Schizosaccharomyces pombe: one gene and its partner. The protein of the gene in region 1 interacts with the protein of each later gene in a pairwise test. Each region holds a gene or a part of one and is shown in the gene's direction. Other genes may lie near its edges.

Region 1 (4,495 bases):
AGAGTTGGAAAACAAAAAAATTGAAGATGTACGCTTACTCCTGCAAGCGTTGCCTGTGGGTTATAAGGCAAAAGTTGGTGAAATCGTTGAACATCCTTTGGCTAATGAACAATCATAAAGCAAATGGAAGTTTATCAAATTTTTTCTTTTCACCCCAGAATATGTATAATATTTTTGAACAAAAAAGACACCGACTTGTGTCTAGCGTCGTTTGAACTAGAATGAAAGGTTGCTTCATTCTACAGTTGCGTGCATAGTAACATTTCTGTGGTTTTCGACTTTTTATTAAAGATCGATACAATATTCCCTTTACCATTTACACTTTCTAATTTATTTCACCTTATTGCCTTCTATCTTTATTGTCTCTTTCTCTCTCTTAGCATCTTTATTTCTCGTTATTTATAATTCCGCATTTGATTTCTTTTCCTTATTCTATATACCGAACCTTTCGATGTATAGTCTTATATTCACCTTCAGCTGTGCTATATTGTTAGTGCATCCATCATTCGTTTCCCACTCATCATCATTTACCTTTATCGTTCTTTCCTCTTGCATCTCATAATACTATTTCTCCTTTAACTTGTTCAATAAAGCAGAGAACATAGCATTCGATGGCCGACGTTCTGAATGCACTAGAAGAAAAAGTTGTTGAATTACAACAGTCAGAAAGCGTTGAAGTTATTAAAAGGCATTTTCGAGAGTTTAGAAAAATATGGGAAACTGCAAGGGTAGAGCTTGAATACTCATCCATTCAGCTAGACTCAGTTCTACGATATGAAAAGGCTGTACAAGAATACATTCGGTTGAACAGAAGATATCGGAATAAGATTGCTAGTGGTGAACCATGGTTGCCTATCGCACAAGAAATAGGTAAGATTGTAGATGAAGAGGAAATTACCTCACCAAGTGATGGTTCTCTTCAAAAGCGTTCAATGGATAACTCTGGTTCGTGGCAATCTGATGATATTTATCTTACAAGCGCCAGTCAGGTCACGGCGGCTATGCGTGATATTCACGCACAAATGGTACAGGCAGTGGATATGAGTGCCGAAAATGCAATGGAGTTGTCTTCGAGTACCAACTTGTTAGAAACTCTACAAGAGAAATATTTTGGTGTAGAGGACGTTTTATATACAAGTAAACGGATAATCAAATCGCTCAAATTAAGTGATCGAAGTGATTACTTTTTAGTCGTCTCGGGATTTGGGTTCTTCATATTTGTGGTTGTCTATCTTCTCTTCAAGCGAATTGTCTGGCCTATTCTTTCTATGTTTCTTTGGTTTCTTCGGTGAGATTTTGAAAATGCATTGTTTATTAAAAAGAAAGGCGAGATTAAAAGCAAGGCTTTTTGAGGCTCGTTCCCATCGAGCTCGAAGTATCTATACGAGAAATTATTTTTTCGCCCTTTTTCTCAATTTTATTTTGAAAAAGTCTTTGTAAAGTAGTTCTTATGTTTTAATGTTTATCTTATACGATTGGTTTTTATTTACGTGTTGTTCTCTTTAAATAAAAACGTTGAATGGCGTAGAAGTTTGCTGATGATAGTAATGCTATAGTATTTGTAACTCAATGGGAAACGCCATTCCGTAAACAAAATGAGTTCTTGCTCACGAAATATGCGACAGTCGGCATGCAGCTGCATTTCAAATCATTCTTATTGTATATGCCTCTTTGATTGTCAAAACCATTTGTTTGACCACAGTACAAAAAGAGCAGTATTCTTTGAATTCCTAATAAAAACTAGAGCGCTTGTTAATTGGGAAACGCATCTTGTTAAGTCTGTCGCATATTTTCTAGGGTCCGGTACGAACGCCTAGAATCTGAGATCGGATAGCAAACTCCATTAAACCTATAAACTTAAAACTAATAACTGCTTATGTAAAAATTCATTAACCAAACGTTCTAATTATTCAGTGTCCTGGTTCTATTTGTTTGTGTGCTTTCTACTTCAAATGCGTAATATAGTGTTTACAAGCACGTAAGCATAACGATATAAATTAAGGCACATGCCCCGCGATGTCTCACAACAACTTGTCTTTAACCAAACTCTTTACGTTAGTTAACGGAGATATAAGTCTTTAAAAGAATTATCATAACTAGGTATCTGTCGTTTGATCTCGTACTTATTTCTTTGGTCGATTGGTGATTACTAGTGTAGGAGCATTCAATTAGATATAAACATTATTAATTCCGTAAACGTGTAAACACTAGTTTTCTCGAAATTCATTTGTTGTGACCTTTCTGCATTTCATCTCTGTTTTTTTTTCTTTAGTTTAGCATGACTCACACTCCTTCGTTCGATCTCTCTGACATCAAGTCCACATTAAGTACTAATGTACTGCATGCCGATGATGCTTATGCATTAGAAAATGATGTGGCTCCTCCCATCCATATTTCTACTACTTATACTTATCCCGGTACTCCTGACACTCTTCAGCCTTTCACCAAACTAGCGGAGGAAGACTTTCCATACTATGCCCGTATCAGCGGCAACAATGTTGATCGAGCTGAAGCTTCGTTGAGCAGTGTTCTTGGTGCACCTTCTGTTGTTTACTCATCTGGTTTGGCTGCTATTTACGGACTGTTGTCGTATTTAAATCCCAAACACATCGCCGTTCATAAACCCGGTTTCGGTGGTTATTCAGGCACAATCCAAATTATTGCACGCATCAATCGTCTAACCGGTTTAGAAACCTCATTTATTGATGGCAAATGCGATGCCATCGGTGAAGGTGATGTTATATGGTTGGAAACTCCTTTGAATCCTTTAGGTATTGCCTTTGACATTCCTTTTTACAAGGAACTGGCAAAAAAGAAGGGTGCCATACTTGTTGTGGATTCTACTTTTGCACCACCCCCTATCCAGGATGCACTTGTTTTAGGTGCTGATTATGTAGTTCACTCGGCGACTAAATATCTAGCCGGCCACAGCGATGTTTTGGCTGGAGTCACAGCCTCGAAAGATAGATCCAAGATCCTTGATTTGAAAGCAGATCGTGCTTATCTTGGCACAATTTTACATCCTCAGCAAGCATTCTTACTCTTGCGCTCTCTTCGTACCTTTCCTCTTCGCATCGCAAAACACAGTGAAAACGGATTTTTGGTTGCCCAACATTTGAACAAGTTGGCTACCGATGAGCAATTTGCTACTAGCCTAGGAATTGATAGTAGCCTGATTTTGGAGGTTTACCATAACTCCTTGCAGACCAAGGAATTTGTCGCTAAAAATTTGACTGGCGGTCATGCATCTTGCTTTTCTGTTCTACTTAAATCTGACACAGTTGCTAAGCATTTGTGCTGCGAGTTGAAATATTTCCATCACGCTACTTCGTTGGGTAGTGTGGAAAGTTTGATTGAATGGCGAAGAATGACGGATTCCAAGATTGATCCTAGACTTGTTCGCTTGTCCATTGGTATTGAAGACGCTGCTGACTTGATTGCCGATTTGAATCGTGTCTTTGCATCTTTAAGTTAAATCATTGTGTTATTTGCTTGTTTTCTAATGTACTAATGAATATTGTAATTCGTTCCTTTTGAGAACATTTTTAATTCTTGCTATCTTTCTTTGCAATTTTTTGTATTGTTGTGTTTCACGTAAAAATTCACCTTGATCGCTATTGCAACAGTAAAGCGAAGGGTACGATAGAATCGGTGAGATGTCATGTTCTAGGTCATCAACCCGATCATTTTCATTCTTTAACCTTCGAACATGCTTGGCATTAACAAAACCCATCAAAGCCTTTACTTGTTCATAACTAAGTATTCCCTCAATTGTCCAGGATGGACTTTTCAACCCTTCATGATTCAAACTATAACCAAAAAAGAACTCACGTATAAAAACTAAGTGAAGGTACTTTTTCTCTTTTCTGTTAAAGAATTTTTCTAAAAAAAACGATTTAAAGAAATTAATAATAAAATCGTATCAACCTGGACTCAATAGCATTACTAGATTTGGAAGATGATTTGCCTATACCTGGTTCTCAGGCATTGAGAAAGGTGTCTGCGACAGAGGTACTTGATTTACTTGTTGAACATGAGTTGGCCTTTCCGAGCGAATTTTTTGAAGAGTTGTCGAATTTATCATTCTCTGAAAAACAAACGGCGTTAAGCAACCCCAAAACTCAGGTTTACACCAAAGGGGTGTTCGCTGCAGGACAGGTTGCTCAAAGGTGTATTGCGGGTTGTTTAAGGAAAGGCAATCCTAATTACTGGAAATCTCAACAGGTCGTAAATGCATGGGCGCGATTGTTTCCTCGTCTGCGCTTCCTGTCCCGTCAGCAAATTTCGGGAACTCAGGAGATTGAAGTCAAGTTTTTACCAGACAATTTAGGAGATAATAAGGACACTTGTCATTTATGTGGTTTATCTGCCGATGACTCCGTCGCTACTTTGGCACCTGCTGAAATGCTCATACGGAGTCAAGGAGCTTTTTGGCATGAAGGCTGCTTGAAGTATTATAAGCACCATTTTTCTAAATAGAATTTTCAATTATGGC
Region 2 (4,844 bases), on another chromosome or scaffold:
CAAGAAAATCATACTCCCAATTCACCAATGATTTTTCATAAATCTCTCGCTTCATGTCTTTCGCGGCAGAATTTGAAATTGTCAAAAACGTTCGATGTTCTAAATAAGCAAAATTTTTAATGGATTTGTCCAGTTCCTTAACCAAAAAGTTCAGAGAGCTTCTCCATGATCGAATGCGAAACCTCTGTTTTCTGTTTTTCTTCCCGTTGAATACTGTTATGACCGGCAAGGAAAGAAAGGTTTCTTCAACCATATGATTACTACCCGTAGGGAGTTTGTTAACTATGTCTTCTATTTCCAGCTTCTTACAATTTATCAATTGTTGTACGGCGAAAACGCGGCGTACGAGATCATTCCAAACAAGGCAAAAATCGCTATGTACCTCAAAGTACCACTCTGGTAAATTATCTTCACACAACGAACATAATTTTCCTGAAGGAGGAGGAACGTGTATATAATTGTATTTGATTATTCCGAGCAAATGATCATGAAGAATGAAGGCACCAATCCCTAACGTGTTAAACAGGATGAAATCCATTTCGTTGATCACGGACCGTTGTGGATATAAATATTTTCCTGCCCACAAAACCCTTGTATCTTTACCATACAATGAGTCTACTAGAATGCCTCGAAAAAGCATTCTAATATACGTCTTTCCCTCAAATGGAGCTTTGGCTTGTTGAATATAATAATTAGGACTGCGTATTGGATTACATCTGAGAAAAGCAAAGACATGTGCAACTGATATGCTTTTTCTGAAAAGATTATCGGTTGCTTTCTTCATTAAGTGTTCATCATCGCTTTGAAGATACTCATAGAAACTACATTGAAATAAATCTCCTTCGTAGCCGATTAATTCAAAAAATGCAGGATTGGCATATTCCACTATTCCATTTTTTGACATTTCAATTTTCAGCAGAACTTCGTGGGAAAGTATCCTCTTCAATTGCTCTGGATTAGTCATTGTTTATCATAATTGAACACTTTAAGCTTCTTGGTATAAAAGAAATTGTATTCAAAGTTGTGTAAAATCAATGCAAATGGTTCTTACGCGATAGTTTTTCGGCAAAGACTTTTAATAGTTTGTAAGACTCGTATAATTTAAATACCTTTTTTTACTTATGAAGCGGAATTGTTGTTGTATACAATGTTTTCGTTATTATAACATCATCAATTTATTACTTGGCTTTATTAAATTCGCCAACTAATATGCTAATTCATAATGAGATCACAATTTGAACGAGCGATTTTTAGCACTTTAATTAGCGACAGGTTCTTTAACAAATATTTGTCGGATGTGAACTGTAGGTGGCATCAATTGGTATTAAGCAGAAAACAACCAAAACCATTGTTACAGCGAATATTGACTAGCGAAAATTAATTAGTTTTTTAATACATTTTATTGTGAGCGACAGAAGTATTTGGTGATTTAATTCATTTGGCGTTGTAATTTAGACAACAGGTGAATAAATAGATGTAGAGTTAATACTTCAATCCAACCCTTGGTTTAACTTTCTAATCACACTAATTTGAAAAGAACTTAGAAATAATATGGATTTTTTTCTCTGTATCATAAAGCTATGGTTTTAACATATGCAGCATGGTTTACAAAAGTATAATAAAATGTTGAAATCTAAATTCCTTAGTGGCAATAGATTAGTCTGAAAAAATAAAGAGAAAGTCTTTATTATAAATTGATATGGGTTAATGTGGTGTATTACAGAAGCGATTAATCTAACGTGCTACGCTCAGCATCTACATGAACTGAGCGCACTCATCTAAATATTTTTGTAATTGGTAATAAGCAGCAATACATGCCTGAGTTTATACGCAAGTTTTGTAACAATCATTGGTGCGATCAATTTTTGTTTTTTGGTTAGTTGCATCGTTACTTCTTCCGCTTTTTTGTTTTCATATTTTTGGTTTTTAAAACACATCGCAAATTCAATCAAGTTGCGAAATTTTTCATTCTTTGATATTAATTTTCTTACAACCTACTTAAAAAACTATTTCCTTTTGGTCGAGAGCCTTTATATTGGCTATAGTCTACTTTCTTCAAAAATGTCTGTTGAAGCAGGATGTTCAACGCTATCTAATCCTCTTAAGAAATTGACTTCCACAGCTGTTGTCAATAATTCAACACCTTCAGCTCAATATCGAAAACATTTAACCAAGTCTCAAAGTCGTACTTACGCTCCTTTGCAAACGCTGTCTGAGGATCAATTCACATCTTTCAAAAATCTCCAAGGAAACAATAGTCCTTTAGGTAATGTAGTTAAGAACCCAGTTAGCTTAAAAACTGGAAATCATACCGGCACAACTACTCGTGGAGGCTCGAAAGAAAATTGGGTACATTCTTTTTCTTCTCTTCAGCAGCAGAATAGTAAGTCGGCTTGGACATCAGAATTCTCTGAAGTATTTCTCAATTCATCTGAAAACGACCGTTTTCGAAACTTAAACCAACCTTTAAAACAATCTTTTTTTGGTTCCGCTGGACTAAATTTATCTTCAAATACTGAAATACCCTTACAAAGTTCTTTAGCTATTGACGAAACTGAGTTGGCTAAGAAATTTGAGGAAGCTTCTCAAATCTCCAATAAATTAGAGAAGGAAAAGGATGCTACTGGAAGTAAATCAATTGAGGAGCTATGGGAAGAGCATCAAAAGCAATTGAAAAACGCCGGGCTAGAGCCCGCAAGTTTAGAGGAATACCAGAAACAATGGGAAGATTTTTTAAAGTCAAACAATATTTCTGACGATCCTTACACTTCGTCTGTGAATAGCTTTGCTAATGATAATTTAGCTCATAATAAAAACATAGATCCTCAAATTTTCCAGCATAGCGATACTGATAACGTTGTTGAAAACTCTTTACAAACGGAAGATGTATATTCACAGAACCAAGATGAATCTTCAGAGGTTGTGAAAGAGCTAAACGGAATAGATCCATTTGTTGAAGCCATGAATTTAATAAAAAATGGAGGATCTATCTCGAAAGCAGCTGTGTTATTGGAACAATCTGTGAAAGAGAATCCACAGCACTTCGAGGCCTGGAAATGGTTAGGTCGCATTCATACTCTATTGGGAAACGAATCGCGGGTTGTTGAAGCCCTACTTGAAGCTGTCAAATTGGATTCAACCAATCTTGACTTAATGATGGATCTTGCTGTGTCTTATGTTAATCAGTCTCTAAATGTTCAGGCATTGGTTTGCTTAGAAGACTGGATAGTCAACAGTTTTCCCCAATACCGAAACAGGTTTGCAAAGATAAACGAAAGGTTTGAAGAGAAAGATTCTGCTAACGATCTCTTGAAAATGCAGATGTATTTCTTGGATGTAGCTTATGAGTTATCACTTGCTAAGAAGCGTTCCTCCAAGGTACAAGCTGGATTAGGAATAATTATGTATATGTTGAAGGAGTATGAGCGTTCTGCAGATTGTTTTCGGCAAGCTCTTCAAGACGAACCAAGTAACGAAATATTGTGGAATAAGCTTGGTGCTGCTTTAACAAATGCAGAAAAAAATACTGAAGCTGTTTCTTCCTATAATCGGGCAGTATCTCTACAGCCCCAGTATGTTCGAGTTCGCTCAAACATGGCTGTTTCCAACATCAATTTAGGATACTTTGAAGATGCTGCAAAACATCTACTTGCTGCAATTGATATTATACAAAACAGTTCTACCTCAATGGAGAGCTGCGAATCAAATGAGGAACTTTGGGAAATGCTTCGCAAAGTATTTTTGATTGGATTCCAAAGTACTGATCTTGCCTCTCAGTCCTATCCTGGAGCAAACACTAGTTATATACGAGCCCAGTTAAGTGATCTCCAAGGTTGGCCCGGTGTTGAGCTCGAATAAATCTCTTAAAGCAAACGTGCTTAATTCATTTTTCATGTTATTATTTATTTGGTTGTTTTTTTTTTTAAATTTTTTGTCTGAGGCATATCTTTTAGAGGACGTGCAAAAGCTACTTTTTTTTTGTTGCACAAGAAATGAGATAACTTACGCTTCAATATCTGAAGCAGAGAACAAAAGTAAAAGAAATCTTACTCTATGCTACCAAAGTTACTATTGGTATGCAAGTTGTACCTTTCTTGACCGTTTATACAATGGAAATTAGATCTTCAGTGATTTGAAAACAGATGTTATTGTTTACTTTTGTGAGAGTGCTTCTAAGCTCTTTGTAAGCACAGTTTTTTAAGTAATCCAACATTGTATTTATTGACGATAATGAGACAATGTTTAGTATTAATTGTTCAATAGCATTCGCATAAAATTCGAAGTCTCACTTTTTTGTTTAATCATTTGCTTTTATAATCTCAGTTTATTTAGATATACTGATGCGTATAATAAAGTATTTGACAATTTTCTATATTTTGAATAATGAAACTTAGTGTACCAGCATAAAGTGCTGTATGGATATTTCTCTCTCGTAAGAACATTCTTCAACTAAGCAGGTTGAGTACCAATTTTGACCCAATTGAAATCATTAGTTTTTTAATAAATTAATCCCGATTGCTGGTATTTATAGAAGGGGAACAGTGTCAAAATATGAGTGAGGTCCATCAAGAAAGTGAAGTAGAGTACAGTCGTTGGAAAAGAGAACGCTCTCCTGGTAAGTTGTTAATGTTTAGTTTGATAGAAATACTCATCCTTTTTTTGCATAGAACGGAGTCAAAGACGTTCACAGAGCCCCCCTGGTGAACAGTCTGCGTATCATCGAGAACGGTCTCCTCTACGAAAGCGTGGTAATTACTATGATGATAGAACAAGAGGTAAGAATAAATATAAAATTCTATGAATTGACCTATTAACTACAATACGTCTAGCTTCTGGACCTTACC

What was found.
Region 2: the proteins of SPOM_SPAC23A1.14C (region 1) and pex5 interact in a two-hybrid assay, tested with the Schizosaccharomyces pombe proteins (2 studies listed by BioGRID).

The regions. Positions count from the first base shown.
Region 1 is NC_003424.3:4,100,739-4,105,233, reverse strand, and holds SPOM_SPAC23A1.14C (cystathionine gamma-synthase-like protein), read left to right. Parts: upstream 1-2,025; 5' UTR 2,026-2,278; coding exon 2,279-3,475; 3' UTR 3,476-3,958; downstream 3,959-4,495. Other genes in the region: RNA polymerase II CTD phosphatase Rtr1, read left to right, coding at 1-118; SNARE protein Sec20, read left to right, coding at 612-1,292.
Region 2 is NC_003423.3:1,214,958-1,219,801, forward strand, and holds pex5 (peroxisomal targeting signal receptor Pex5), read left to right. Parts: upstream 1-1,759; 5' UTR 1,760-2,061; coding exon 2,062-3,858; 3' UTR 3,859-4,287; downstream 4,288-4,844. Other genes in the region: serine/threonine protein kinase Ppk31, read right to left, coding at 1-964; pir2 (C2H2-type zinc finger domain-containing protein), read left to right, coding at 4,552-4,615, 4,668-4,775, 4,830-4,844.